Linked DNA regions of Astyanax mexicanus. The protein of the gene in region 2 interacts with the protein of the main gene of each other region in a biochemical or structural test. Links are inferred from orthologs where the notes say so. Each region holds a gene or a part of one and is shown on either strand. Other genes may lie near its edges.

Region 1 (11,058 bases), on a different chromosome or scaffold from region 2:
TGATCCTCCCTGTTGGAGAAAAAAAAAAAAAAAAACGTTTCAGTACACCTGCCAGACATGATTCAAACCATGGGAAAAATTGAAAGATGTCCAACACTTCACTGGGGGTAGAAATCACAGAGAATATCAACACAATATTATCATGATATAATAAAATACCCCTAAATAAGCAAATCACAAAAAATTACAGAATTATTGGTGTCAGTTTCACAGAATTTCACAACCAATATTCTTTACTGCAGGTTCACCCTATTCATTTGATTAGTGCCACATGGAGTAACTTTAGTAAGTGAAATTGGGGGGCACTTTTTGGTTGTTTCAAACACAGTGCTGTACATAGATAATTATATAACAAAAACAAACACTAAAACAATAAGACAAAAAAAATAAAAGTAAACATAAAAAACAATTAAGACAGAAAAAATCCTAACCAAACGGAAGCAAAATCTTACTTTAGGTTAAAAGCCAAAGAATTAAAATGAGCTTTTAGACTAGTTTTAAAACGGACTGTGAAGAGGCCTGCCTAATGTGTAAAAGTATGTTGTTCCATAACTTGGAAGCAGCAATCTAAAAGTCTCTGTCCCCTTTAAGATATTGACCATGGCACCTCTAAGAGCAGCTGATCAGCTGACCTGAGGCATCATGCAGGAACGTGAGGATGGAGTAACTCAACAAAGTAAGGTGGGGTGAATCCATTTAAAGATTAAAAAAAAATAATAATAAAAGAATCAGTTTGAATTACAGGCAGCTAGTGGAGGGAGGGCAGAATGGGAGTTATTCACTCTCCCTTCCATGATCCTGTTAAAATTAGGGCAGCAGCATGTTGCACTAACTGGAGGCGTTTGAGGGAGGACTGACTGACCCCAAAATAAAGTACATTACAGTAATCCAGCTGCGATGTAATGAAGGCATTAGTTATTGTATGAAAATGCTCCTGTGTAAGAACTGACTTCACCTCTGCCAGCTGCTTCAAATTAAAGAAAGAAAAAAAAACTGGACCCCACAACTGCACTATTTTAAAATAACTGTCCATCTTAAACAAAGTTAGACATTGTTAGCTTCATAAATAGTGCCAAATACATTGACATAGTCCTATCCCTACTCCTTACCCAGAGTCTTTCTGTTCTTGGTCTTCATGTGGACTTCTTCTGCATCATCCAGAACCAAGTTCATGTACTCATCAAACCCCTACAGCAGAAGATAAAAACAGAAATAGCACTGATAAAATAACATCATTAAAACAAACATACAACAGAGGCCATTAACGAATCCAATACACCCCCCAAAAAATACATTTCACAGGTTAAATACAAACAGACATTAGTCTGTACTGAAAGCTATACATACACACTCTAGTCACATCTGTTCCTCTGCATACATTATTAGCATCCATTCATCCTGTTCTTCAATAGTCAGAAGCCAACAGGACCACCTTAGAGCAAGACACTTGACTGGATATATTTCTAGTTGGTGGAATACTCTAACGCCAGCAATGACACAGAGGTGTTTAAAAACTCCAGCAGCACTGCTGTGTCGGATCTACTTGTACCAACACCAGCAGAACACATACCAACATCCCAAACACATTTGTTATGCTAAACCACAGTCACTGCAGTGCTGAAAATAAATGACCCACCACTGAAATGTGGTGGCCTTGAGGGGTCCTGAGTTTTGAAGAACAGGGTAAAATAAGGATAATAATAAAGTATGCAGAAACAGATGCAGAACTACAGTCTGTACTTATAGAACTACAAATTGCTCTTACTTGCTGGGTGGAACTGATAAGATACACAAAGCAAACAAGGAGAAAACATTACATAGTCTATTTGGTCAGGTGGGCTTAAGGAGCTTTCACATCGCCATCGGTATGCCACATTGCTTTCTGCTTTGCTGGAAGCTAGCCAATTGTGGTTGTGTTGTGCTACTGCTGATGCCAAGGGTTGCCTGATGATAACAGGCCAGTGTTTTTAAAAATGAGTCACATCTACAAGTGTTTTGATGTGTGGTGTAGCTACAGCATCTGTAGACACACATCTGTCTTAACGTCAGAAAAAAAGCATTGATTCTTATCTTTTTCCTGATATTTTTATATGAGTGTAACTAACTGTATTAATCGTCAATATTACTCACTTGCCCATGTTTGGACTACAATGCATTTTCTGCTGTGGTAAGCAGTAGCATGGCAAAGGTATGGTTATGGGTGTGAAAACGCAACGCATTCCACAGTGGTCTTCATCAGCGCCAAACTGTCCTGGTGCTGGGGAAACAACTAACCCATGAGGGTCAGCCTATAGCGGTGTGGCTACTGCTTGCAATGCGAAAGCATGTTATTGCAAAGTACAAATATAGTGTTCTCTGATTAGTTAGGTCAGTAAATAATTACTTACAATAATGCAGCCTTCTATCCGCATGTTGACCTGCTCATAGAGCCAAACCGAGATACGAGATCGCTGCAGAAAAGAGGACAAAAAGATTATTAACAACAGCACAAACTTAGAACCACAATTGTGATACACAATATAACCATTAAATACGGTGCAGTCATAAAATGAGAATAAATTGTCTGCACTTTATTTTATTATTCACATTGTTATCTTATTGTGTACCCACATACAAGACCATTAATAATAACCATAAAAAAGCTGCACTTACATTCTGTAGATACCTGAAAATCAGATTCTGTAGACAGAAGTCAAGGACAAACAACTAGCACAGGCAAAAATCACAATTTAGCAAAGCCATTCTCATTAAATATCGAACTAGTCCACCTGATTATTTCCACACACACACTGCTCTACAACATTTAATACCACAACATATTCTAATTTATTATATGCTATACTATTTATATGCATTTTACTGCATGACCTATGCAAATTACCTTTTGGAATTTACATATGTATATTATATCGCCATTTAACAATTGATCCGTATTGCTCAGCCCCATTGCCTAGATTAGCTTGGTAAGTTTTATCTTGCTTGTAGTCCAACTAGCTAAACTATCAAACTCAAACAAGAACCTGCCCTATGCTCAAAATTACGGATAGATGGATGGATATACAGATAGATAAATATACAGATAAATAGACAGATATACACATAAATAGATATACAGATATGCAGATATACAGATAGAAATACATATATATATGAGTACAGCCCCAACACTAACCCCGTAACTTATATGTAACTAATGTTAGCAGAGTTATTGAATCAGTGCACTCTTTATAAACTCCCCCAAACACATTCTATCTGCAGTAATTTAACCCACCGCGAGTAATATAGCAGTTAGAGTAGTCCGATATAATAAGATAAGCTAGATAGGTTATCTAACGCAGGTAACATTACAGAAGTGAGTAGAGGCTAAGCTAGAGCTAGCGCTAAAGCTAAAGCTAAATGAATGGAGTGGAGCTCCAGCAGTGAATCAGTTTCAGTAGTAAAGGATACGATGGGCTGCACCATCACCTTCTGCACCTTCTGGCCCTGTCCTCTGTACGCCATGCTGCTGATCCGCGGGGCTGGAGCTGCTGCTGTAATATAAATATTATAACTGTAATAACTGGAGAATACAACTCGCCGGGGAACGATCTCCTCACGTTGGTGTAGCAGCGATGGCGGGGGGAAGCGCGGAGAGAGCTGCCTGGGGCTGATTTTTACTACAGCGCCGCGCAGCGACCAGGAGGACTAACCACACAGAGACCGGCCCTGAGACGCTGCCTGCGCTCAGAAACTACTACCTTTACTACCGCTTCTCTCTTTGTTCTTTTTGATTTTACAAACACAGTTCAAACTAAGAAAAGAAGAGGGATTCATATAAAATTGAACTTAAAATTATCTATGGATTTATGACATTTTTTTTTTCTGAGAGCTCTGTTGTGCGACGCGTGATTTATATTCACCAATAGTGATGGGCAGATGAAGCCTCATTGGGTGTATGGCACATTTCCCAAACTGTATCGACACTGTGTTGAAACTGTGTTGCTGTATCACTTAATGGCGACATCTGCTGGACTAAGAAAGTCATTGCAAGCAACTGCGCGAAGAAATGCATCGGTCACATGGTTTTCCTTAAAATGATACGCGGTCTGACACAGGGGTTCGCCTTGTTTGCTCGGTGCATGCGCTGAAGTTTCAGTGTCGTCAGACCCATCGCTACCAAACGATACAGTAAGTGTATCGGTCACGTGGTTTTCCTTAACTTGATACGCGCACCGACACGGGGTTTCGCCTTGACAGCTCGGCGCATGTGTCGAGGTTTCAGGGTCGTCAGACCCATCACTAGTGTTAGCAGACTGTGTTTGCTTATTGTTGTGACTTGAAAATCAGTACACATTTATTGTCCAATTTATGCAGAAATCCAATTAATAGTTTTTTTTTTGTGTGTGTGTGTATATATATATATATATATATATATATATATATATATATATATATATATATATATATTATAGACTATATGTTGCTCTATCACTTAAAATCGCAATAAAATACAACTACATTACAAATACAATTTTGTGTTGTAAGGTGGCAAAATGTGAAAATGTTAAAAGATATTTTCTTATTCTAAATATTGCAGTTATTTTATATTTAAAATAACAAGCTATGTTTTTTATGTAAATACATAAAACGTGTAACTTAGTTAATGTAATAAAACTTGATACATAAAAATAAACACAGACATACGTGGAAAGATGACATGAGCTCAACAACTGCTTGCGTCTGCACTGTTTTGTGCACGCGGTGTGACGCAGTGCGCATGTCAGTTGTTGGCCAGTGTGTTGTTATTTGGAAGGCGCTCCGAGGTGAGAAACGCTACGATATACAGACAATTTAAGCGAATTAACGGTTAAAAGCCACCGTATATGAGCACGGTTCTGTTGGGGACAGATTTGCGATGTTAACTAGGGCGGTATTTGATTAAATAATGCAAAAGTTCATTTAATATTGACGCTGAGATGCTGCTAAGATAACTGTTAGCTTGCTAAACTAAGATAAGCTAGTTGTCTATTATGCTGAATTAAGACCAGCATAGCTAAGCTAGGTTTGGTAGATTAGCTGACTGGCTAACGTTAATGCAACGTTACATTGCTGAGCTAAAATACAGTTCTTATTAATTTGGGTAAAGGGAGTTACAAGGCTGCTTTATTAGAGTTTAAATCTAGTTAACTAGCAAATATTCTAGGTTATTGTAAGATAGCTATATGCTGGGTTGGGTTATGTGGTTTAACGCAGCTTTCCTAGCTAGCTAACGTTAGCTAAGCTACTAACTATTATTAGCTTACAATACCCAGTGCAACATTATTATAAATGAAGCTAAAGCATTACAAGCAGGTTAACAGTATGTAGCAAAATTTGGATACACTTTTAGGGGTTTGCCAAGCTGTTGCATCAGTTTTAGCACAGTCAGCTACTTACCTACCTGACTGTCTGTTTTAGGCAGGCAGCTACCTCACCGACTGTTTGTGGACAATTACAACCAGGTGTCTTTTGTTTATTTCCCTTTTGTTTGGTTCTGAGGCAGTGGTCAGCAGCTTGGTTTATTTAGGTCCCCAAAATCACACTATATCCTTTCAGGAATTAAATTATTTACTCAGGAATGCCTTAACCAAAGGTGTCAAAAGTATTCACATTCATTATTCAGGTTGAGGTATAGATATAGTGGTTTAAAAATACTTTTGTAGAAGTTAAAGTAACAACTCAAGTTTTTTACTCAAGGAAAAGTGTAAAAGTACTTGTTTCAAAGGATCATATAGTGCACTACCTATTCAAATAGCAGCTTTATTGTGATCTGATGAAGCATGTGTGAGAAATCCATTGCGAAAACACCCACAAAAATAGGTGCTCCTTAAAAGGTAAAATTGTTATTAAAACATGGTCAAATTTACGCATATATTTCAATTTTGTTCATATTTACGTCTGAAAGGAGGCAAGGTCTAGGATCTCCTGTAAATAACGATATCTGACATTGTGATTCGTCTTTTATAAATTTTTCGTAATATTTTAAAGAAGGATCACGTTTTCTTTATTTGTGAACTGACAGTTTAACCAGTTGTGAACACGACAACAAAGATGTCCAAGAAGCCAAAGCAAGTAAAAGTAATACTACATCTTTGAGTTTGTTTGTTCCGAAGCAGAACTGAAGGGACTCAGGATGCTGCGACTGAGGTGCAAGGCCAAGAATGGAACCCATCTGATGCAAGGCCTCACGCACCAGTCCTGTGTCCAAGAGCTGAAAACCAAGGTAGAGGAGCTAACTGGAATTCCATGCGACGTTCAGAAGATCATGGTGGGCTACCCACCATCCAGCTTGGATCTTCGCAATGGAGATGCTCACCTAAAAGACTACCCTATAAAATCAGGTGAGGTTTTTATTTTGTTGATTTTTAAACATGAATTGACTTTACCCAGTAGGGCTGTGCAATATAACCAGAAAAAAAAAATCCATATTCATATCTAAATATCATATATATTTGGATATTCTGATATTCTGATAATTTATATTATGATGTAGCACAATTTTTGTTAATTCAGTGAATTTTCTATAAATATTTATTTCATAAAATAACATATAACTATGTATTTATATTTTTTCTTTAACAAGCAGGAAGAAGCGGGAAGGTTGCAGGATGTTTTTCACTTACTATTTGGCAATGTTAGTAAAGTATACACTTTGAAAAATTGGGACAGACACAACAAAAAAAGCACACTAATTTGGGGTTAAACTGTATGGAGCTCTGTTGTGGCTCGTTAGGAGTTTAGGAAAACTTAAAACGATATTTGCATGAGCACTCATCAAAGCTTCTAACGTGCATTAACATGCATAAGCCTGTTTGGGGAGCATTGGCTAAAAACGCTGTATTTTGCAATGCTGGTCGTCACGTTTCAAGTCCATTTCACACCGAATTGCATAGTTTTTGGTATTTGTTCACATTGCTACCTATATCTTTGGTTATTGGAAAGAACATTTACAAAAATGTTTTTTTTGTCTCCCCGCTTTCCCTTCATAACCTCTCTTACAGGAGACACTCTGATTGTAGAAGAAGAAAAGAACAAACCAAAAGTCCAGACTAATGCTGCTCTAACAAAAGTCCCATGCCTAAATTCTTCTCCTGTTCTGGAGCGCCGAGTGGTTCCTGCTGACAACTCCTGCCTCTTTACGAGTGTGAACTACGTGGTGGAGGGGGGTGTGTATGATCCAGCCTGCGCACCCGAGATGCGCGGCCTTATCGCCCAGATCGTGGCCAGTGACGCAGCTGCCTATTCAGAGGCAGTACTGGGCAAAAGCAACGACGAATACTGCACCTGGATCCGGCGTGATGACACGTGGGGGGGTGCTATTGAGGTCTCCATCCTGTCCAAGTTTTACCAGTGCGAAATCTGTGTCGTGGACACGCAAACTGTTCGTGTGGACCGATTTGGCGAGGATGCTGGCTACCAGAAACGTGTCTTGCTTATTTACGACGGAATCCACTACGACCCGCTGCAGAGGGCAACGCCTGGCTCGGACATCCCACCGCAGACTGTCTTCTCCACTACCGACGACATCATCCTCGCGCAGGCCCTGGAGCTGGCTGACGAGGCAAGGAGCAAGCGGCAGTACACGGACGTCAACCGCTTCGCGCTGCGCTGCATGGTGTGCCAGACCGGCCTGGTGGGACAAAAGGAGGCGAGAGAGCATGCCAAGGAGACGGGTCACACCAACTTCGGCGAAGTGTAACAGTTCGCTTTGGATCACCTTTACTGTGCCCTCCCACTGCCACTCGGTATATGTTCTCACCTGAACCCAAACCCAAACTAATTCACAGTTGTGTGTCTCAGCTTGGTGCCGTTTTCTACCTCACAATGTGTTTTAACCCAAAACCCCCAACTTTTCAGTATTAATTACAACTCTTGGTCAACACTGGGTTTTTGACATTCTTGAGCATTACGTTTTGGTGTGTATTATCAGCACAGTATTGCAACAACACCTTTTTATTTTTGATATGTAGCAATTGAGTTTATTGCCTAATGAGGAGTGAGCCTTTTATTCAAACCAAAATGTCAAACATTGCCTTCGTTATCAGTGTTTAAAACTTGCAACACTACTATTGCATAGTTGATAGCCTTGCTGTATTTGTGTGATTATTTCTTTTCTCAATTTTAAGGTTATATTGCACATTTCCGAACAATCGATGGCACTGAATGGTCTTAAAAGCTCACTGGCTCAATAATAACTGTTACTTGAAATAGTCGCAAAGATCAGACAGTGAGGAGCATTCTGTAGTTGTTTATGATTTTTTTTTTAACAGGTAGCTTCTCATGCATAAAGTATTTGAAAAGCATGGGTTGTAGTTTTAGTTAGGCTTCTGAGAGAGTGGATTGTGTAACAAATGGTGCTGATTGTGGACTCACATTATAAACATTATATAGTATAGTGGTGTGGATTTACGTTCCAAACTGCACTGTTTTTATTGTTTGTACAACTGGCCATGCAAAACACCTTTATGCAAGTGGCTACGAAACGTTTTTGCCAAGATTGATTTTTTTTCTTTCCTTCAGTGAAGAATTGTGTCATATCAGATTTTTTGAAGTGCTTGAAAACACTGGGGTAAATGTCGCTGGACTTGGTGACCTAGCCTAGTACAGTAAGTAGTATGAGTGGTTAAACAATACATTAATACATAGAATGTATTTTAGTGCTGGTGATAACTGGAAATACAATACATTTGCAGTCAGGTACTGTCCACGCAAGGCTTTGTATGTTATTTTATTATTTGGATAGTGGGATTGGATGATGTTAAGCTTTAAACATCATCACTGAGCAGAGCTCTAAACAGGAAGTTAATGAAGTAATGGTTACACCATAAATAAAGGATGAATTGATACACCTGCTTGTTTCATTCAACAGGTAAGAGCTTCCATAAGCTTCATCATCTGTGGTGTTATTCTGGGATTGAATTATGCTGCAGTTGCAGAACACAACAGTTTATTTACTGTATTTGGCTTGATGTACATTAAGTGTCACTTGCTATCAACTACCTCTCTAATAAATCCCATTCAGATAAACAGGATTATGTCTCTAACAATTTGCACGATTAAAGTAATGCTATTTTAAGAAATCTTTTAACTTTAGTAATAGGATTACCTAGGATTTGGAATGACAATGGCAGGCAGCAAACCTATTTTGGCAGTTGTTTCATTCAGCAGCCTGCCATCTTGTGTATGTAGATGAAAAAACAGGCCTACTTCTATTTAGCTTTGGCTAAAACTAAAAGGCTCCCCTACCTCCTACATAGTGCAATACATAGGGCACTGAGTAACATAGGGCACTGAATACATTTTGATACGAAAACATTTGGGATTTAACCTTTTGCTAAATCATAAACTGTAGAATACTACCTATAAAGTGCAATACATATGACTCTGAATAGCACAAACAGTGTAATACAAGTCTGATAAGGAATAATTTGGCATTTAAGCTTTATTTAAATCTCAAACTGTACCCTACTTCCTACAAAGTGTATTAAATAGGGAAGGGAATAACCCAGTGCAATTAAAGTCTGTTGAGGAACTATTTGGCATTTAACCTTTGGCTACATCTCAAATTGTCCCACTTCAGTTTAAAATTGACCATTTTATCCAACATAGTGCCCTACCTAGAGCACTTAATAACAGTTAAATAAGTCTTAATAAAGAACTATTTGAGATTTGTGCTCTGGCTAAACCTAAAACTGTCCCTTACTCCCTACATAGGACACTGAATAACACATACACTGTAATAAAGCTCTGATAAGGAACCATTTGAGATTTACACCTTCAAAGTGTCTCTAACCCCCTACATAGGGCACTGAATAACATTGTGCAATTAAAAGTCTGATAAGGAACTATTTAAGATTCAGACTTTTGCTTAATCCTAAAACTCCGACTAACAAAAACAGTGTAGTAAAAGTCTAATAAGGAACTGTGTGAGATTTGGTCAAATGGTCACTTACTTGTACTGCTTAGGGCACTGAGTAAAAACGGTGAAATAAAAGCCTAATGTCCAAAAATCATTTGGCATTTAAAGTTTTATCTAAATCTCAAATTGTCCCCTACTTCCTCCAAAGTGTACAATATAGGGCAGTGAATAATGTGGTGCAAATAAAGCCTGATAGGGAACTATTCAAGCCTTTGACTAAATCACATATTGTGTGATAAGGACCAATTTGGGATTCATATTCTAAATTGACCCTTGCTCCCTAATTAGAGCACTGAATAACAGTGTAACAAATGTGTAATAAATGTCTGGTAACAAACTATTTAAGACCCAAGCTCTAGGCAACTGATTAACACAGACAGTGTAATAAAAGTCTGATAAGGAACTATTTGAGATTCAACCTCTGGCTACATCTCAAATCATCTCTTTTTCCCTACCTAGGGCTCTGAATAACATTCACCTGCGATTGAAGCTTTGGTTTCATCTCAAACTGACTCCTACTTATTACACAGCGCACAACATGGAGCACTGAATAACAGTGCAACGAGGAACCGTTTGGGATTCATGCTTCACAAAGTCTCAAATTGTCCTGTACACCCTACACAGTTTACTACATAGGCCATCAGTAGTGTAACATTATTGTAACATTGTAACAATATTGTAACCTGCATATTGTAATGTTCTTTCTGTAACATAATAATGTAATGTAACGACATAATAACGACAATTATATTAAAGAAAGAAGGTTACAACATTTAGGCAAATGTCAAATGTATCACAATTACCCCACAGAGTGCACTGCATACGGCATGAAATAAAGCAAGTTAAATGAATGGCATTGTTGTAGGAAAATACCGCAGCAGTTACTTCAAATAAACTGCAGCAGGCAGCTGGAGAACCACCTTTTTATTGCAGTCTAAGCAACACATGCATAAAATTTAAAACATTATTCTAATCATATATACAGCTCTGGAAAAAAAAAGTAAGAGACCACGTTACAATAATCAGTTTCTCTGATTGAACTATTTATAGGTTTATGTTTGAGTAAAATGAACATTGTGGTTTTATTCTGTAACTACATACAACATTCTCCCAAATTCAAA
Region 2 (11,058 bases):
TGGGAACTGGAGACCACCATCCAGGAGGCACTTAGACAAGAGCCGGATCCAGGGGGTGGTCCTCCTAACAAGATGTATATTCCTACTGCGGCGAGGAGGCAAGTCATGTCCTGGGGGCATGCCTCACCATTTTCAGGGCATCCAGGGGTGACAAGGACCCTGGAATTCTTGCGCAGGCGGTTTTGGTGGCCGAGTATGGAGAAGGATCTTCGTGCCTTTATCGCTGCATGTGAGACATGTGCACGCAACAAAACACCCCGGTCAAGACCTCAAGGCCTTCTTCATCCACTGCCCATCCCATCACGCCCATGGTCCCATGTCTCCCTGGACTTTGTTACTGGCCTGCCCCCCTCCAAGGGTAACACAGTCATTCTGGTCCTTGTCGACCGTTTCTCCAAGGCCTGCAAGTTTGTGGCATTGCCCAAGCTGCCATCGGCCAAGGAGACAGCGGCACTCCTGTTACAGCACGTGGTCAGGATACATGGGATGCCAAGTGATCTGGTGTCCGACCGGGGACCCCAGTTCACAAGCCGTTTCTGGAAGGCCTTTTGCCGGCTTATGGGGGCCTCTGTGAGTCTCTCCTCTGGATTTCATCCAGAGTCCAATGGTCAGACCGAGAGGGTCAATCAGGACCTTGGCCGGACTCTGCGATGTTTGACCTCTACCAACCCCTCCTCTTGGGCGGATCACCTGTCATGGGCGGAATATGCCCATAACACCCTCTGGCATTCATCCTTGGGCATGTCACCCTTTGAATGCCAGTTCGGGTTCCCACCGCCCATGTTTGCCGAGCAGGAGCGGGAGGTAGGGGTCCCTGCTGCTGAACATTTTGTGCGGCGTTGCCGGAGAGCCTGGCAAAAGGCTCGGGCATCTCTCCTGAGAACGACTGAGGCAAGGAAACGAGTTGCTGACCGCAAAAGACGGGGTGCACCAACTTTCCGTCCAGGTCAGCGAGTCTGGCTGTCAGCTAAAGACCTTCCACTTCGGGTAGAATCCCGAAAGTTGGCACCACGGTTTGTGGGGCCGTTTAAGGTAGATCGGCGTATTAACCCAGTTACTTACCGGTTGCACTTACCACCATCTATGCGGATCCACCCTACATTCCATGTTTCTCGCCTCAGACCCTTCCTTTGTGGGGCTGGGGCTCCTCCGGCCCATCCTCCAGCTCCTCGTCTTATTGATGGCTCCCCAGCATATACTGTTCGCCGCCTCCTGGACTGCCGCAAAGTGCAGGGTGGTACCCAGTATCTGGTAGATTGGGAGGGCTACGGGCCAGAGGAACGGTCTTGGGTTCCAGCACGCCACATTCTTGACCCAGAACTTATCAGGGAGTTCCGACAAGCACGTGCTGCGGGCTTGGGTACTTCTGGGGCCGTCCCTAGGGGAGGGGGCCCTGTAAGGGGTCGGCCAGTGCTGCCAGCGGCCAGCAGGGGGCGAGCACAAAAACCCCAGAATGCCAGAAGGTAATCAGTGCAAACGAGACACACCTGCTGGCACTGGTATATAAGACCAAGGAAAGCAGCACCCTCTTGCCACACCTTTGTAGAGGGGTGACCGGTAACATAGGGTACTGAAGAAAATAAAAGAAAATAAAAAGAAAATAAAAGGAAAAGAAAAGATCTCATAAAAAAGAGAGGAAAATAAGAGATCTGAAGAGAAAGCAAAAACTTACAAAAGAAACAAAGAAATAAAGAAATAAGAAATAAATAAAGAAAGAAAGAAAAAGAAAAGAGCTCCAAAGAAATAGACTTCTTTTAGCAAGTCTGTCCTAAGTTTCCTTTTTAGTTTGTTTGCCTTTCCTTTGTTTGAGCAATGCCATGTGGCATCTCCTTTGTTTAGTTTTCCCGCCTTTTTCCCTCCTCAGTTAAGAGGGTGTTATTCCAACAGCTGCCTGTCCTTGCCAGTGGCGCAGGAGTAGAGTGTTGGCCCAGCACTGTCAAGGTTGGGAGTTCGAGCCCAGCATAAAGCAGTCCCTCTCACACCACTTCACATCCATAAATCCTTACATAATCCTTACACAAATATTACTTACCTCTTTGCACTTGGGTCCAGTCCTTAATAGTCCCGTGACAAAATGATTATAGTTTTGAGTCCTAAAAGATCCTACATGTATAACTGATTGTTCAACTACTAACTAATCTAAATGGAAAGATTCCTAGAATATTTATACACATCTTAAAATATCCTCTCAAGCTCTGCCTCTCCCGCGGTGCACCCTGCAGCACGGCCTGTCTAGGATGTTTCCATTTATAGATCTCTGATCCCATTATCTCAGGCAGGGAAGACCCAAACTTAGACATCACTGGGGTCAAGAGCAAAGGCGTTAATCTGGCAGTGAGACGGAGCGTGAGGGATCTCTTATGGGTGTCTGTACATGTAAAGGGCATTTTACACCATGTATATAATGCGCACAGTTTTTGCACAGTCCAAGAAAAAAAGAAAAAAAAATTAGGACTACTTTTTTTCTCTTCTGTGAAGCCAATTAGCCTGCTAAGACTGTCTAACACACTCTACGCTTTCTGTACAGAATCATTTACACTGAAGCTCTGTGTGTGTCTTACCTCCCTGTCGGCCACCAGCAGCAGCCCCATAAGGGAGGTGTAGAGCACTGACTGGGAGATGTCTGTGCTCTCAGGCTGGAGGCCATTCTGGTTCAGCAGAGAGCGGCACAGGGCCCGGCAGGAGTTATCCATGTGGTTGGATGCGGCTCTCGGCATTTGGCCCTAATACAGGGTGAACTGACGCCAGGCAGATCAGAGGAAGAGGAGTATGAATGGAGATGGCAGTGTAGAGCTATAGCCTGAATGACCTATAAAACAAACAGCAGATGAATTAAAAGATGAAAGCATATATACACCTCTGGAAAAAATTAAAAGACCATTTCAGTTTCTGAATCTGTTTCTCTGATTTTGCTCTTTATAGGTATATATTTGAGTAAAATGAACATTGTTCTTTTATTCTATAAACTAGGAACAACATTTCTCTCAAATTCCAAATAAAAGTATTGTTATTTAATGCATTTATTTGCAGAAAATGAGAAATGGCTGAAATAACAAAAAAGATGCAGAGCTTTTAAACTTTTTAAAGTTCATATTCATAAAGGTTAAGAGTTCAGAAATCAATATTTGGTGGAATATCCCTGATTTTTAATCACAGTTTTCATGCATCTTTACATGTTCTCCTTCACCAGTCTTACACACTGCTTTTGGATAACTTTATGCGACTCCTGGTGTAAAAAGTCAAGCAGTTCTGCTTGGTTTGATGGCTTGTGATCATCTATCTTCCTCTTGATTATATTCCAGAGGTTTTCAATTTGGTTAAATCAAAGTTTAAGTCTATAAATTTGCTTATCTTGCCACTTGCTTTAATATTTTTAATTTTTATTTTATTGTGTTATTTTATTAATTTGCTCATCTTTTTTATCCGTTTTATCCTGGTCCTGGGAAACTATGGGAAACTCCTCACAGTGAGGGGTCAAAGATCAAACCCACACAACCAGACCCCTGATGTTGTGTGGCACACTGTGCCGCCCTTATAATATGGTTAATATTAACATATAACTTATGTAAATCTATTTTACAATAACCTAATTCTATACTATGATTATAGAGCTTTATTATTATCTCTATTCATAATTCTGTAAACTTTTTAAAACTCAATTTTGGCTTATTACAGATTTGTAGCAAGCTAAAAAAAAATGATATATGCAAAGATTGCACAGGAGTAACATATCATCTGTGTCATATCAGAAAACCTATATTTCTGAAGTGGCAACTTTAGAAGAGAACTTTTAAATACTAATATATTTTAGTCTAATTAATAATTTTAGACCTTTTGGAGCATTGTGAATGGACCATTCATCAAGAAGTTACAGAATGATGTTAGAATGATTGTATGTATTGATTCTAACATGTTGGCTTTGTGTTAAAATGTATTGTAATGTATTGTTTTTTATAAATGATTAAGTATCAGGAACTATACACTATATATAAGAATACTGTACATCTGCCAACTCCAATATTACTTTGATTAATAGTCTGTAAATTCCTATCAAATATCTAAAGTCTGTGAAATTGTTTTTTGTATGTTCTCTTTAATTTAATCCATAAACTGCAACATTATTTTAATTAATAGGAGGTTAATTCACAGATAAATCAACTTAATTATCAATCAATTAAATTATTTTTCGATTTACCTTTTAAAAAATGTATAATTTCCTAAAAGAACTTCAGTCAGCTTATTCTAAATAATATTCAATAAATAAAATTAATTACATAAACATGTATTGGGTTATATAATACCGTATTCCTGAATGTACTGAACTGAAGGTATAGTAAAGTACAGCCAAATAATTGCCTACACTCATGAACTCATGAACGGCTTTAATCATGACTACAATACTTATAAAAAACATACAGTTAATAACAGAAACATAATAACATAAATAAAGATTAATTATTTAGCTAAAGATAAATTATTTAATCTTTAAACTTTTTTGTGACAGAAATGTTTTGTCATTTTTACTTACAGTCTCGTCTCCGGTGGTCACACTCCACTCAAATCCCAGCAGATGCTGAACATCAGTTATCCAACAAAGCTGTGTAGAAAATTTCTGAACAAATATCCCGTTTTTTTTTTGTCACTATATGTTCTCACTTTCACTTCAGGCTGCTACTCACCTGGCCACTGTACAGAGAGTGACCCTTAATCACCACTAATCTTTCCTCTCCTCTCCCTGTACGACTGTCTATACTTAGCCAAGTCCTCTCACCATAGCTGGAGCAGATTACACCAGTGAGCCTGCCCCCATAACTCTGCATTACACTAGCAGGCCCATACGCAAATAAACAAACAAATTCATAAATAAACAAGTAATGCACATTTTTATATAAATCAATTGTTTAAATTCAATTGTACATCACGTTTATAAGCTACACAATAACTACAGTGGATTACAGGGTTTACTGGACAAAAGTCATATCTCATTATCTCTCTGCTACTTTCTCATATTGACCTTAAGAACTAAATGGGTTAAAACATAAAACTGTCAGTCCTTTTTACACAAAAAAAAGAAAAAAATATATAATAAAAATATTTACGTTCACATGTTCACTATCGCTTAAATTTTATGATACACTAAAACAGCATCCACATTCTACAAAATCATACCATCAAATGTCACACATTCAATACAGATGGATGACAAATTAACCCCTTTCTGACACACACAGAATTTATTTCAAAATGATAACAAATTTTTAACTATAAAACTAAACCAGAATTTGAATTTTTATGTGTAGAGTAAAAGGTCATTTCCAAAAAAACATCGCTATAACACCTGCGTTTATATTTGTATCTTTTTCTTGGATGCAATACACATTGTTTTTGCACCTAAATACATAATAAGCACGTACATCACTTCCTGTGTGCCCAGAATATATTTAGAATTGTCCGAAAATGTATTTAAACACTATTGCAAATGAAGAAAAAAATGATTTTTTTTTTTTTTTTTTTTTTTTTTTTACAATGACCATCATGTCTCAAAAGCTTAAAGGAAAAACCATCATGAAGTCACAGTAAAGGGTTGTGTTATCAGATCCCATCAGAACAGCGAACAGAACAGTGCAGCCTGATATAGGGTTTGCAACATAACTCTGGAGGAACCGTTTCATTGAATTAGAATAAATGCTCGATTTTTTGTTTTCTGTGAAGAGTGTTCACTGTGCAGTATAAAGTCAGGGTTGAGTAGAATTTCTAAGTTGTAAAATCAATCATGGGTAAGCAGCGCGACCTCTCAACCGGAATAGTGGCTCAAATTCAAGCCCTTCGCCAACAAGGCTTGACCCAAACTAAAATTGCTGAGCAGCTCGGCATCAGCCAGTCTTCCGTCTGCAAAGCTCTCAAGAAAAACTGCAGCAAACTGTTCCGGCGTCCGAAAAACTTCTGCTCGCGACAACAAGCAGCTGAGAAAGATCGCAGTCAGCAACCGGTTCAAGTCCACTTCCGAGCTCACCGACTTGTGGAACAAGCAGACCGGCGCTGACGTCTCCAGATCAACCACTTACCGTCGTCTGCGCGAACTCGGCTTCAAATCTCGCGTTCCAGCAGTAAAACCGATGCTGAACAAGAAACAAATGGAGAAACGGCTGAAGTGGGCCAAAGAACATTAAATTTTCCAGGTAACGAGTTCTGTGATTAGTCTAACGAGTAGGACAGGTGCGGTGAACACCTGATTTGCTTTCTGCACAAAAAATGCATTCAAAGAATTTCATGATTGCACTATTTCAAATTATTCTAATTCTTTGACCAGCACCTGTACTCTCTCTGGGTGGGTAGATGGCGCTCTCTCCCCACATCACTTCAAAGGGTGATGTCGATCAGCACAAGGCATCTGTGAGCTGATGTATCAGAACCAAGTTGCTGTGCTTTCCTCCGAGAGCGCTGTGATGCTACTCGGCAGTGCTGCATCAGCAGCAGTTTGAAAAAGAGGCGGTGGCTGATTCACATGTATAGGAGGAGGCATGTGCTAGTCTTCACCCTCCTGGTGTTGGGGCATTATTAGTGATAGGGGGAGTCCTAATGAGTAGGTTGGGTAACTGGCAGTGTAAACTGGGGAAAAAAATGGGGAAAGTTTTTGAAATAAAATAAATAAAAACCAACTAACTTTTTTATATTGACTTTGTAAGGGTTAAACATTCGAGTTGTATATGCCACAAATGAACTCGCCCACTTGTGGAATGATTAACAAATCACCTGTTTCCACATCCTGAGAAACTATTAGTCATGTTTTTCCTTACATATCACACAAACGGATGAGCATCAATGTTATTAAATGTATGTTTTTAACCACAATTTTCAAAGCTGTTTGCTGATATCTTTGCTATCACGTCACTTTAGTATCTGTTTTAACTGGAACACTAGTCAGATTGCAATCCATCCCCAAAAATAATTAAAAGTGGGACAAAATATCGATATTGTGATATATGGTTTTCTATATCGTTTGCAATACATAATAGACACATGGCATCTAATATTGACCTTTTTTTTTTTTTAAACTAGACTACCTAATTCTACTTAGTAAACTTACAGCTTCATTACTCCACATGGTGGCGCTAATCAAATAAATAGAGTAAACCTGTGGTAAAGAATATTTGTTGTCCAATTCTTTGAAACTGACACCAATAAAGCCGTAATTCCTATTGCTTATTTAGGACTTTTCAGTAACACAGATGGCGTGTAGTATTTTAGAGAATTGTCTTGTGATATATTTATTTCTGTGATATATATATTATATCACAGAATAACAGAATTGTGATATATCGTATCATGTAATGTCCTCGCACTTCAATCCTGTCTTATTGGTCCAAACATCAAGTGTCAAGTGTGTCTATTGAAAATTGTATACTACAAAACTAACAAGCAAACTGGGTTGTTAACTAGCTTGACAGTATAATAAAGCACTCCTATTTGGAAGCATTTACAGCACTGATCATTATTGCAATGCAAAAATCCTGTATCTCCAATAGGCCTGTAACTATATATTGTACGGATGACATATTCTCCAGGAAATAGGTGTAATAAGACCTTTTACAACCCTGATACAATGTATAATATTAAAGCATACTAATGCAATTGCAAATTTCACTTTAAAATACCAGCAAACACTTAATTTTAATTATATTTCTAATAATAATCATATTGATTTACCATGTTAATGGTCTCTTATCACGAAAAATACAATGGGTGATAATAAGACAAGCAAATTATTAAGTCTAGGTTCATATATTGTACAATAATTTCTTAAAATAATTATCATGACTGGCCTGCTCTACATTTTCTTCTTTTTTCTTTTGACATAACATAAATCTGGCATTTATTCTTTACATTGTGTCTGATTTTTATGATTAATGGACCAATAGAACCTGCATTAAAAGTGATGAGTTTTTTCCTCCGCTTAATTTGCCATGTTGGAGCTAAACTATCTGGACAAAAGTATTGGGACACCTGCTGTTTCATTGTTACTTCCGAAATCAAGAGCATTAAGGGCATTAAAGTGGCAGTCCGTATTTTTTTGTTTCTAAACTGAAAGCAGAGGCATTTCTAAGTGGAGAAGGGACAAAACATTGTGTTTAATGGTACCAGTGTGCTGGAACGACCATCCCTGCTAAGCCTAATATATTAATTCTAAAAACTGGGGTTCTTCTGCCCACGTCACGCATCTTTACATACTTAGGTCACACATGTACAGCCTCTAAAAGGAGGATACGGCTCAGTTTTACTGAACGCATGCGGCTGGTGGAGCACTGGAGACTTCAGAAGACATCTCTGAAGACATTTCCCTCACCAGTTTCTGACCTGCTCTGAAAGGAGACCGCATCACACCCACCCAGTTTAAAATGATTCTCTCGCATGCTCGATGCAATTACCCATTCTCACCAGAGAGGGCCCTAAATCCCCCAAATCCCAAAACTTACAGACATCAGCTTTAAGAACGGTGCCAATAGATTCATGTTTATCTGCCCCAGAGATGTATATTCTATTCCTTCTCTAATGGGACTAGATAAGCTTACTTAAAGAGCAGAATGCATTCATTCAAGGGGTGTCCTCAAACATTTGGACATATAGTGTATGAGGTTTATGTGTGACAGCAACGTTATCTTATTCCTCTTGTTCATTCAGGTTCTTCTGTTGATTTGTCACCCATCTGTATTATCATTTATACACAATACAAACTGCATCACATTAAACCGGTGGAAGTGCAGAAGGATCGTACAGTACAGGTGTGAGCACTCACTCATACACTCAACCAGCTCAAACCAGTTTAAGACATTCTTCAGTGCTGACTTACTGCAGCACTGCAGCATCTGAAAACATTCATATAAATATTGTTCCTCTTTAGAAAAATGTATGCTATGTATGCAATCTGCTAATGTCTCTTTGTGTGTGTGTGTGTGTGTATGTGTGAGTGGGGGGTGTGTAAAATGGGAAAGCTTGCTTTGTCTCAAAGTTATTTGAAGTCTGGTAGGCCAGGCCTATGTGTCTGGCATCTCCACATCAGAATTCAAGCTCAGTTCAGCAATGTGATCCAGGGCGGGGTCTGGGCTTAATCGGGATGAGGCTTTGGACTGGCTGTCTTGAGAGAATCTGTCTCGTGATTGGACGATGGCTTGGCGTAGGCAGGAAATCCACTGCTGCTTGTTGAAGGAGTCGTTGGCCTGCAGGCTGTGAGACTGGCCCTTGGTGGAGCGCCCTCTGCTGCTCACACGGAAGCAGTTCTTCACTGAGGAGAGGAGGAACAGAGAGAGAGAAGTTACAACTCTGCATTAACACATGTTCGATATCTGTATCTATATCTGGATATACATTGGTTGAAGTGCAACCACAATGGGTGATCTAAAATCAGATCTCATCAATCCACACAGTTCTGTTTGTGCTAATTAACTGTATATGTCACATATGTCACATCTTCAGCCATATCATTAAAGCCACCTGCCTAATATTGTGCAGGTCCCTCCTTTGCCCCCAAACAGATCTAAATTATCTAGGTATAAACTCCACAATACCTCTGCAGATGTCACCTGGTCCCAACAGGTCTTGTAAGTCCTGTAAGCTCATTACAGCTAAGACCCTTGGGCACCCAACACCCTATTACTGGTTCACTGTTTGCCCTGAAAACCAGGAACACCTCACAAGTTCTGTTGGTTTGAAGATGCTCTGAAACCCCCAAATTAGGCCCTTGTTAAAAAAATAACCAAGCCACCATTATCTGTGTCCATTGTTGCTGCTTCCAAAACATCAACTTCAAGAACTGATTGCTTACTGCTTAATATGTACCGGTACATTCCACCCTATGACATGTCTGAATGTAATTTACTTTAAAACTCAGTGATCTGCTCACTCATCACTACAAGTGTATTATATGCTGTCAAATTTAAGGAAAAATGAAAAAATATCAGGCAAACTGTCAGCATCAATTGAGAAGAAGCAGCAGGCTAAGCTAACACGCTCTCACATGCACACAACTGCAACATAAAAGAGAAGTCGAGAGCTGTGGGAATAAAAAAAAAAATCTGCCTGGTTTCACTTTCAAATATGTGAACTACATGCAGATAGAGTAAAATGCACTTCATTTACACTTCTGCTGAATGTGGTCAAGCTTTGTGTCAAAACACATCCACACCTCCAAATGTGTCCTAAGCGATCAATTCCTAATCCAATACAGTGCATCCTGGGTATGTTTGCATCTGGATTTTTTTTAAAGCTCACCTTCCGTCGTTTTTTCTTTCATTTTAAAATGTCTAGTTGTGGTCTCTAGTATGAATGAATGACATGTGAGCCGTTTTTGTAAAAAAAAAGTGCTCAGGTGTCTCTGTATAGCTCTTTTTTAATGGACTGTTTTAGGGGTGTGTCCAAAATGACCGGATTCCAGCTTTGCTCATGAATATTCATACATGCAAACAGCATGCAAATATCTCTCCTCTGATTGGCTAGGAGCACTGCGACGCCCCTCCACCGCTCTGCCGCTCACTGCCTCCCACCTCCTAACTGATGAGCGGTGATGTTGCGTCGCTTCAGCTCCGCCTCTGGGAGTTTCTGGAGCCAAGGTGGGCTGGTCTGTGAGTTTCTGCCTACGTAGGCAGAAAGATAATTCAAAATTCACCCGTTTTTCGGAGTTGGGGAGGGGGGATTTCTTTGCTTAGCTCCTGCAGACAATGGGGGCTGCAAAACAGTTTAATGTGCAGGTGTACACATTCAACTCGGAGAGACCTACTGTATTCCACAAAAAACAAGAAAAATCGGATTTTCGCGGAAGGTGACCTTTAAGCAAAATGCAATTAACATGATCTGTTAAAAAAGGCATAATAATGAAAGGTGTAAACAGCCTGTGTGTGATTAGACACATTCCATTACATATGGCAGTATTAGTAACATCATCAGGAGAGCTACAACTGCTGGTTAACTAGGTAACTTTAGGGCATCATATGTATTTATTTGATTTTATTTTTTTGCTCTGCCTTAAATGCTGCAGTCGTCTGTCGTATCATTTAAGGTGGAACA
Region 3 (11,058 bases), on a different chromosome or scaffold from region 2:
AGAGTGTGAGCGTGCCAGAGAAACGAAGGAACGAAATTCAGGCAGAGTTTCAGGTGCTGTATCGCCCTCCCCCAGGATGCACGCAGTGTTAGTTCTAATTTTAAAGATAATAAATGCTGTCGTTGTTATCGCGCCCGCTGAATTATTCAGGCTTATGCTTTTGGAGGTTATTTGTGGAGGTTTTTATTATTTTATTTTTTTTTTCTGTTCTTCCTGCTGCTTATAAGACTGTTTCTCTTGATTCCTCTGTGTAACAATAGCTCAAGAAAGTCTCATTTAAAGTAGTGCACCAAAGCAAAAAGGCCACAGGTATATGAGAGACTGCAGTAATGCCTATTTCTCCTTCTTTTTTCTCCTTCTTTTTTTCTGCAGACAGGAAAGTTCTTTTTGATAGACAGCTTTCTAACTAGCATCCCACTTCGGTGACCTTCTCGAATGAATGCCTGTAACCAAAAGTATGTAAAAGAGAGAGGGAGAGAGAGAGAGAGAGAGAGAGAGAGAGTGTGTGTTGGGGGAAAGGAAGAGAGAGAGAGAGAGAGAGAGAGAGAGAGAGAGACTGAGAAACTGAGAAAGAGAGGAACAGATTGCCATCCTTCATAAGATAAGCCCCCCAGGTTTAATACACATTCCAATATCCTCAGCAACAGAAGTCAGATTATAATTTCTGACGAGTATAGATTGCATAACAACATCTGGCTAATCCTCAACCTACAGGCGTATAAGCATATTTTTCTCTAATTAGATTTATTTGCTGCCTTTATATGATTCGTCTTTACCCTTGGCATTTCGTGCTCCGGCAGCAGATGTCATTAAAATTCCTCCTCGTGAGGAGCCGATTCAGGATGATATTCATGGCGAGATTCGGGGAGGAGAGCGGATGGCGGAGAACATCAAGCATCGCATTCATTGATCCTCTGCACTTCGGAAAGAAAAAAAAAAAAAAGGAAGCTCAAAGCTGCCAGCCAATGGCTGTCCTCCGCCGCCCCGTAATGAGCCACAGTCTGATCTGACATTTTCTGCAGTAGAGCAGCAGATGGGTGAATGTAGTCAACGTCTCGGGCTATTGTGACTTATCTCTAAATTTTACCTTCAGCTGCTGCACGAGATTCGTAGAAACTGCTTTTTTTGTCGTAGATCAAAAAATGCTGTCTGCAATCTGTTGCTCTGTCTCTGCAACTCTTTTGGTTTCAGACCACCTCTAGACCCGAACCTGGACACTTTCTATGAAGTACATGAACTACATTTAAACTGGGAGGGGAGCAACCAAAAATCATAATAATAGTAATCATAATAGCGATCTATTCTGCCTGTCAAAAAAATTGTGTGCAATGCACACAACATTATGGGTGACATACCCAGAGTTCAAAAGAGGACAAATTGTTGGTGCACGTCTTGCTGGAGCATCTGTGACCAAGAAAGCAAGTCTTTGTGATGTATGAAGAGCCACGGTATCCAGGGTAATGTCAGCACACCACCAAGAAGGACCAACCACATCCAACAGGATTAACTGTGGACGCTGTAAGAGGAAGCTGTCTGAAAGGGATGTTCGGGTGCTAACCCGGATTGTATCCAAAAAACATAAAAGCACGGCTGCTCAAATCACGGCAGAATTCAATGTGCACCTCAACTCTCCTGTTTCCACCAGAACTCAGAACTGTCCGTCACCACAATAAATTATTGTGGTCTAAAATCAGGTGTTTCAGTTTCATTGTCCAACCCCTGTATATCTGCAGAAATAAGATTTTTCAGTACAATAACAGAGCTTTAATAAGTGCAAGGTCTGTGTTTAATTACGTGCTCATGGAGGAAAGAGACAGGTCTTCGTTGGGTCTTGATGTGTCCAAAAGTAGCCAGACACCTGCACTAATTAGTGAATTCTGCTACTATAGGTTCACCTATTGGTGGAACATGCATTCAGTTACACACACACACACACACACACACACACACACACACACACAGAGCTTTTATATTAGCTTTTTTCAGTGACCTTATCTCATATTATTAGCTAAAGATTGTCCTACATTGAAGCAGCTTCAGTAAGTTTCAGTATAATGTAAAACTACTGTTTTAATAAAAGTAAAAGTAACTCTTGAGGAATATTTGGAAGTTTTACTTTAAAACTTTTACACTAACAGTTGTTTTAGGGTTTTTTTTTCTTTACAGCACTCACAGTGTTTCTGTCATTAACTGCTGTGGATTTCCTTGGTCTACCTGTTCAACATCTGTTACTAAGTACACCAGTGACGACTTTCTTCTTCAGGACATTGCAAACAGTTGTTCTGGATATGGACAATATTTGTACAATGGCTCTGATTGAGTTTCCATCTTTTCTCAGCTTCACAATTGCATGTTTTTCACCAATAGACAGCTCTCTTTTTTTTTTTTTTATATAAATGCACAGATAAAACCCAAATCCGAAACTGAATGATGTTTATTATATAATTAATGTTTAATGATAATTCATGAATCAGGTCACACCTGGGCAACAAAACACACCTGAGAGTCACATGTTCCAATACTTTTGCTCACAAGAAAGATGCGTACTATCTGTGCTATCATCTAAACAGTGTATCAGATGCATTTATTATTCATATTAACCTTATATTAATAGTTTAATGTCAAATTCATTTTCAATCTACACCAGAAATAAAGCAATTGACCTGAATGTTCCAATACGTTTGGACCATTGTAGCTGTAGCTATATATATATATATATATATACACACACACACACACACACACACATATATATATATATATATATATATATATATATATATATATATATATATATATATATATATATATATATATATATATATATATATATATATATATATATATATATATATAATGTTTAAACATATGAACTTATTGAACAGTCCTGACCCTGTAAACCAAACTAAAACAAAAACAAAATCTCTTACATATTCGTAACTAATTTGTACTTATATTTATAGTTTGTAAATAGCAGAAAGCTGATTAAATCTGTATTTAATTACACAGCTTAGCATTTGGCACCATCATGTTTCAGACCTTTACAATTGTATTACTCAACAAATAATTGTTTTCCAGGTGCCTTAACTGGCCTGCATGGGGTCATCTGAGGAAATGCTGATGAAATATTAATGAACGCTTACAAACAAGCACAAGAACAAGCAGCGAAAACATGGGGGAAACATGGAGGAATCCTAAACAGATAAATGTTTTTAACAACCCTCAAGGATGTGCTTTACATATTTGTTGGTGTACATATCAGTGGTATAAAAAAAGTGGCACTCCTGATAGTTTTTATGATTTCCCTTTATAAATCATTGGATGTTCGGATCAGCAATTTCAGTTAAACACAGCAGACAAACACAGTGATATTTGAGAAGTGAAATGAAGTTTATAGGATTTAAAGAAAGTGTACAATAACAAAAAAATAAAGCTGGTCATTTTATTGATTATTATTGGAACACTAAATTTGTTTGGTATGCTCATTGACACTTGACCTTTATACACAGGTGAATCCAATTATTAGAAAGAGTTAAGGTGTCCAATTGCATGTTCTTTTCTCTCATCATCTTCTCTGAAGAGTGGCAACATGAGAGCCTCAAAACACACCTCTCAAACAACCTGAAAACAAAGATTGTTCAACATCATGGTTTAGAGGAAGAATACAAAAGCTCAAACCTCAGAGATTTCAACTGTCAGTTTCCACTGTGAAGAACAGAGTGAGGAATTAGAAGATCACAGGCACAGTTCTAGATAAGATCTGAAGTGGCAGAACAATAAAAATCTCAGATAAGCAGAGGAGAAGGATGGTGAGAACAGTCATAGTCAACCCAAAGACCTCCAGACCAGCTCCAAAGACCTACATCATCATCATCTTGCTGCAGATGGAGTCACTAAATATTGATGTTCAGTTTTTCTGTTGGGGTGCCCAAATGTATGCACCTTCTAAAAGTTGATGTCTGTAAGATTTGGGATTTGGGGTATTTAGGGCCCTCTCTGGTGAGAATGGATAATTGCACCAAGCATGTGGAAAAATTATGTTACACTGGGCGGGTGTGATGCGGTCTCCTTTCAGAGCGCATGAATCCGATTCCAGGTTATGTTCAGTCAGAGAGAGAGAGAAAGCAACTTCACTCCTTTGTTTCTTTGTTTTTACTATGAGTGAATGAGACACTGAGGTCTGAGTTTCCTCTTCTGAAGTCTCCATTGCTCCACCAGCCACTCGCGTTCAGTAAAACTGAGCCAGATCTTCTTTTAGAGGCTGTACATGAGACGTAAGTTTGTAAAGACACGTGACGTGGCCAGAAGAAGAACTCCCTTGAAAAGTGTCCTGACCCCCCAGTTTTAAGAATTAATATATAAGGCTTAGCAGGAATGGTCGTTTCAGCACACTGGTACCATTAAACACAATATTTTGTCCCTTTTCCACTCAGAAAAGCTTCTGTTTTCAGTTTAGAAACAATATAATATGGACTGCCACTTTTAAATTTTGTTTAAAGAATTATTGCACACTTTCTGTAAATCGTATAAACTTCATTCCACCCCTCAAAACACAGTATCACTATGTTCATCTGCTATAAGATATATTTAAATTAAATTGCTGATCTGAACAACCAATGATTTACAAAGGAAAATTATGAAAATTATCAGGGGTCGCAACTTCTGGACCAATCAGCACCTCCTAACTTCTCAACAAAGAAGTGATGTCACTGCCGAAACTACAGAACCAACACCATAGTTCCCTCTTCACTAGCGGTGTAGTAGTGGTTTTAAATAGGTTGCTCATAATAAGTTGTTTGACAAAGCTTGACAGCATTGAATCTGACTCTCAGGAGTTCCCATCACACCTCGCAAAACGAAGAGAAATCAAAGTGCACGCGCTACGGGGTAATGATGCACGGAGCGTGTCTTGAATAAGCTCTCAAAGCCTGTAATACCCAGCATGTGGGTCGCTCAATTTAGTCTGTTGTCAAAAAGTTGTACAGAATATGTAACAGTGTAAACAAAGGGATCATCAGCATTCGAGTCTAGTAGCAAACATGCCTGTTTACGTTGAGCTTTTTGTGATAGTTATTTGTAAGGATATACTGTACCAGTCATATGTCTTCAATCCAGTGATTTTTTTTATGTTTTTTTTTTAGTCTATTAATTGTAATAGATTAAGTCATCCAAAGTATTAAGAAAACAAATGGAATTATATAGTAAAAATATTTTTTTAACAAACAGAACATGGAAAAAATATTAATTAATTACTTGAATTTCTTTCTTGTGTTTGAGAGCGTCAGTTGTAAAGTTGTGAAGAGGTAAAGTAAAGTTGTGAAGAGGTAAATCCATATTATGAGAAGCAAAAACTACTCAACTAAATAAAGAAAAAAAAATACTTTAAGAAATGAAGCTCATTCAGTACAGAAAATGTCAAGAACGTTAAACAGATCCTCAAGTGCAGTCACGAAGAGCGAGAAAAATGCTGAAAATGATAAAACTTGGCTCTCATCAGGACCACCCCAGAAAAGGAAGAGCAAGAGTTACCTCTGTTGCACAGAATTTCATCAGATGCCTCAGAAAGCTTAGACAGTTAACAGCACCCCAGATAAAAGCAGCTAAATTCTTCACAGAGTATTTTTTGAGCTTTTGTTTTTTAAGTTGGTTTGTCTCATTCCGCTATAATCCACTTTTTCTTGTTCTTTGTGAAATACTATAGGTCTCTTTGAGTTGTACAGCAGAAGGAGTTATAGCTAAGGAGGAGCTTACAGCTCTGTTTACACAGCTAGTTAGCATTAGCTATCTTGTGTAAGTAACTGTAGGTTTAAATAGGATCTCCGGTTGATTCAACATTTTACCGAAACCTTAAATCAGGGGTGTCCAAACTTTTTTTTGTTGGGGGCCAGAAGGAGAAATATATATGAAGTCACGGGCCACAGACTCTGTAATAAAACAAATAATGAAATACACCACTTTAAATAATACTTTTTTCCTGATTATTTCATTTACACAATTTTACTTGACTTACTATCTTTATCTTTGACAGTGTTGTGTAAACTAAGATTTTTCATATTGATGTTTCATTTCATGATGTCTCTTAATATTAAACTCCTTAATTACGGCAACATTTAGACTCTTTGGCCTGTTTTTCTGCGCTAGAAATGCGCACCCTTTCCCCTTTTAGACTCTTTGCCCAGTTTTTCTGCGCTAGAAATGTGCACCCTCTCCGCTTTTAGACTCTTTGCCCCGTTTTTCTGCGCTAGAAATGCACACCCTCTCCGCTTTTAGACTCTTTGGCCCGTTTCTGACACCTAGCGTTCAAACTTTGAATCTCACATTATAAAAACCTGCTTAACAGCGGGCCAACTTTCATTCTATTTTCTAAAATACCTTGCCGGCCGCTCCAAAAAAGGAAACGGGCCGCAAATGGCCCGCGGGCCGTAGTTTGGACACCCCTGCCTTAAATATACACTAGGAAAGCACGGTTTGACAAGGTAGCACAACTCGATAGAGCACCAGTCAAAGCGGGAGCCGTTCACTTTTACAAGATTTTACAAGAACCAAATACAGTCTTTCTTCAGAGACCTCTCATTCAGTGATCTAAATCAGGGCTAAATAGAAACACCTGAACCTGAGCACTTTTTTTTTTTTTCAGAAAAAACGGCTCACATGGCATTCATTTATACTAGTGACAACAACTAGATATTTTAAAATAAATGAAAAAAAAATGATGAAATGAGACCATCAAGACTTTTTAAAATATTTTTACTGCATACTATGACTACCTATTAAGAAAAACATTGTATGAGAAAGTGTGCCCAAACTTTTAACTAGTACTGCACAGCTTTTTATTTTGTGTACACTACACCATAGAAGTAATTAAATGCTAACTTGATCAGTATTTTAATTAGTAATTTATAGTCTAGGTGGCACAGTGGTGCAGTAGACAGTTCAAGAGGTCTGTGGTGGTGGGCCAGCTCTGGTCTTCTTTTGGGAGGAATTTGGTCTAAACTACATTTGGCCCAGTTCTGCATGGCCGATGCCAAGGTTCAGCTGATGCTGCCATGCAGCCGATTCTTCATACTGTCTGGGCATGAGTGTCCATGTGGGTTTCTTCTTCCTCTGGTTTCCTCCCACCTTCCAAAAACAAGTGTAGGTCAGGTAGCTTTGCTAAATTAACACTTAGGTTTGAAAGGATGTATGTTGTAGCCTATGATAGATTTAGGCTGATAGACTGTCCAGTGGGCATTCATGTCTTGCGTGCATTAACTCAAGGCAGGCTCTAAGCCCACTCTGTCTCATTGGGTTTGCACTTGGGGCCCTATTTTAATGATCCATACACCTATAGATCACTAAAATAGGGCCTCCAAGTCATAAACCGTGCACCATGCAGCTTAGGGCTGAGGGATTTAGGACATGTTAGTGTGTTTTTGCTATCATAACGACAGGAAAAGTATGCCTTACGTGGCTCCAAACGTACAAAAGGCGTGTACAAAAGGGGTGTACAAAAGGGGTGTGTTTTGGGTACTTCTCAGCAGAAGAAACATGACCTGGTTGTTTTTGTTGCTGTGAAGGTGAGCAAGCAGATCATTTACGAGAACAGCGATGTTATATTAATTTGTATTATATTTACTGTTCGTGTAAAAGTTGGATTTGTGCACTGCACAGAAGTTAAAATACGAATCCACCAAAATCAGTCAGTTAAGAGCACTTGGTTCTCAAACGGAATGGTATGCCCAAAACATGCCCATGATTCGTTAAAATAATTAGTACATGCCATTTGTGCATCTTGAGCTGTGCAAGGGATACTTATCCCATCGTTACAATAGCAAAGACAAACTGCCATGCCCTAAATCAATCTGCATGGTTGACAGTTCGCCAAAATAACAGTTCGCTAAAATTCAGGTAGCCCAGTGATTAAGTGTGCTCAATGATTCAGGTTAGGCTTCGGACCCACTGTGACCCTGACCACAAAGAAGCAGATAAGTAGATGGATAGATGGAAATGTGGATGGATGGATGGATGGATGCATGGATGGATGATGAGCCATTAACCAGTAATGAGGTGGTACAGTAGGGATTGTATGGCCTCCACAGCTGTAGTGGTACGGGTTTCGGGTAAGATGCTTGCTGTGTTCCCTATTTGTAAGAAGTTTAGTGGGTTCCCCCAGTGTTGATATGGCTTTCCTTCAGTAATAGTAGGTAAATCGGCTATGCTAAATTGCAGGTTACTGTCGTTTACCACTGTCTTTTTGCTGTGAAGATGCTTGAAGATGAGGAAGAAGACACAGCAGACATTGTCTTAGGTGTAGTACAATGATTTATTACAAAAGACTAAGGCAAAACCTTCAAGGCTTCCTAGGCCAGCCTTGGAGAGAGATGTTTTCCGGATTTGAAGTTTCCGCTCTCTCTCCCCCTCCCCACTCTTGGGGGCCTCCTTATATATGGTGATATGGTATATATCTGGAAACACTTAAGACATACATAGCCATAGACAGCCATAGACCGAAACTACCTAAAGAATAGCATACCTGTCAAGTCTCCCATTTTGGCCGGGAAACTACCGTATTTTACGCCTCTTTCCCGCCGTCCTCCCGTTTTTTAATTTTCCCGTAAATGTCCCGTATTATATTAATATTAAAAAAAAACTTTATTATTAAGGAGACGGGGCACTGACCGCTCTGTGTCTCTTAACCAATCGTGGTGCCGGTTCAGGGAGAAAGTCCCGCCTTTCAGGAGAAACAGCCAATCAGCTTGCTGGTTTTGCGGAGCGCGAAGGAGGGTTAGTGTGGGGAAGACCCCCCGCCCCCCATCGCTGTGAGTTCAGGCAGCTAGTCGGAGCTGCTGATGTTAAAATAGATCTGGATATACAGCGATTTTTCTAAAAGAAAATATTTTTCTGATAGCTGCTTAAAAATACTCATCTGAATCAAAACACACAGATTAAACCTTTTAAAAATAAAAAAATTACAGATAATCTAATTGTAGTCTGTAAGTGGTTCACATGTGGTTATTTTAGATTTTTTGTAAACATTGTCTTAAAATGTAAGGGATACTGAACCTTCGTTGGGCTGGTGGGACGGCTTTAAGCGGACGGAGGAAAATATCCCTTATTTTTTAATCTAAAACTTGACAGGTATGGCATAGTTACATACATTAGTGAAGAGAAATAAACTGAATATAAAGAAAATACATATGCTGAAAACTACTACTTCATTACTACACTTCTATTCACTCCCACCTTGAGGTAATTTAGAATAGCCAATTGATCTACCGTGGGTGATTTTGGGAGATGGGAGGAAACTCAAGCAGAACTGCAAAAAAAAAAAAAAAAAAAAATATCCACCCACAGATAAAGACCAGAGCAAAGACCAGATCCACAGAGCAAGAATCAGATCCACCACCATGCTTCCCTGAGCTTCTGCTCAAATAGTTAACTTTTCACACCAATCATTTATAAGGATATTATTAACAGTTCAACTAAAGAACAGATTTACAGTGAAGCCCGCCGTCTCAGATACATGCAAGGTTGTTTTTTTTCTGCTTTCTGCTGTCTGTTGTTAAGGTTGAAAGGCAGGTTCAGGGTGGGACTAGATCTTTCACCACCAGGCTGCACTGTATCAGAGGAAAATCCATGAAACATACATCAGAAAAATAACAGCTAATGCACCCATTGTGAAACATGCTCACCTGGATTCTCATACATAAATTCTCTCAATAAACAGATGAAGAGGGAGACAACAGAGGCGATGCAAGATCTTATCAGATTGAACAGAAAGCTGTTTCTTAATGTTTCTTCTATTCTTCTTCTCTCCCTGGCTTTTAACCTTAACAGCATACCTCCTGCTAGACTGTAAAAAAAAAAAAAATAAATAAATAAATAAATAATCACTCGAATAGAAACTCTCTGGCAGGCTTCAGTGACTCTCTGTTGTTATACTTAACTCTCAGTCATTTTTAAACTTTTTTTTTTTTTTTAACGAGAACTGTAAAAATAGTTCAGTCTAATGATGCACCACTTGGGCACTGTCATGGCCTGGTGGTTAGCCCCTCTCTGGGTGGAGTGTTGTGATGGATTGTATAGGCTTTTTTTAGTCCAATACTTTATATGGAACTGAATAGAACAGTTCACCAGAGATTTCACCAGAAGCAGTTTTTTTTCCAGCCTTGTGCCAGCCTTACCACTTATTATATTTTAAGAGATTTCACCATTGCAGATACATTTCTGTTGTCAAAATATATATATTATATATTGCTATGATGTGTTGCAATGCAAGTCGTCCTCATGGTTTGGTGAAAGGTGGTCAGGATGATGAATCTTAATAAAAATGTGTACCACTTTAAAATAAGACTACCTTTATAAAGGGTTTATGAATGGTTTAAAATTCTTTTATTTACGGTTAATAATTAGGTTGTAAATGCCTTAAAAATCATTAATAATCAGTTATAACACATGCGTAGAAAGGGCAACAATATAGATGGCTGTGGGTTCACTACTTGGCAAACAACAGGTCATTGTTGCCCTTTCGACATATGTGTTATAACTGATTATTAATGTTTTAAGACATTTACAACCTAATAAGTAACCATTAATAAACTAATTGTAAACAATTTATAAACCCTTTATAAAGGTAGTCTTATTTTAAAGTGGTACCTAAAAATGTTTAAAGGCTGTTTAAGTATTCAACAAACTAATATAGCATGTGACTATAGCATAAACTTTGGTTACAATTTTATGTATTATATAATAATTTTCTGAAGAATAAAATTGCTAAGGTGAAATTCCCCCTTGGATAAAATGTGTTTTTGTAAATTTAAAGGTCACATAAGGGTTAATAGTTCAATATGATCACACAATTTTAGTTTTGGCTAATGCGAACTATCACATGGACATAGTGAACAACCAAAAAGTGAGCCCTTTAGAACACCAAACCAACAATTTACAACCAACCAAACCAAACTATTTTTATTCTTTTTTACTACACTTTTATTTTTGGCCACAAATCTACGCAAAAAAAAAGTTTATAACAGAACATAAAATATAAAAATGTATTTATTTAATTAATTCATCAAATTT

The links.
Region 1: the proteins of usp21 (region 2) and yod1 form a complex in vitro, tested with the Homo sapiens proteins (2 studies listed by BioGRID, with this or other methods). The link is inferred for Astyanax mexicanus from reciprocal best matches to the Homo sapiens genes USP21 and YOD1.
Region 3: the proteins of usp21 (region 2) and aurka form a complex in vitro, tested with the Homo sapiens proteins (2 studies listed by BioGRID, with this or other methods). The link is inferred for Astyanax mexicanus from reciprocal best matches to the Homo sapiens genes USP21 and AURKA.

Annotation. Positions count from the first base shown.
Region 1 is NC_064431.1:7,026,656-7,037,713, forward strand, and holds yod1 (ubiquitin thioesterase OTU1), read left to right. Parts: upstream 1-4,689; 5' UTR 4,690-4,696; coding exon 4,697-4,802; intron 4,803-6,131; coding exon 6,132-6,359; intron 6,360-7,019; coding exon 7,020-7,717; 3' UTR 7,718-8,866; downstream 8,867-11,058. Other genes in the region: snrpe (small nuclear ribonucleoprotein E), read right to left, coding at 1-9, 1,110-1,188, 2,388-2,450, 2,653-2,679, 3,448-3,501. UniProt on the Homo sapiens protein: Hydrolase that can remove conjugated ubiquitin from proteins and participates in endoplasmic reticulum-associated degradation (ERAD) for misfolded lumenal proteins.
Region 2 is NC_064420.1:35,349,941-35,360,998, reverse strand, and holds the start of usp21 (ubiquitin carboxyl-terminal hydrolase 21), read right to left. Parts: upstream 5,913-11,058; 5' UTR 4,529-5,912; intron 2,810-4,528; 5' UTR 2,718-2,809; coding exon 2,562-2,717; intron 1-2,561. Other genes in the region: arhgef3l (rho guanine nucleotide exchange factor (GEF) 3, like), read right to left, coding at 9,033-9,280. UniProt on the Homo sapiens protein: Deubiquitinates histone H2A, a specific tag for epigenetic transcriptional repression, thereby acting as a coactivator.
Region 3 is NC_064424.1:42,036,428-42,047,485, forward strand, and holds the start of aurka (aurora kinase A), read left to right. Parts: upstream 1-5,705; 5' UTR 5,706-5,715; intron 5,716-11,058. UniProt on the Homo sapiens protein: Mitotic serine/threonine kinase that contributes to the regulation of cell cycle progression.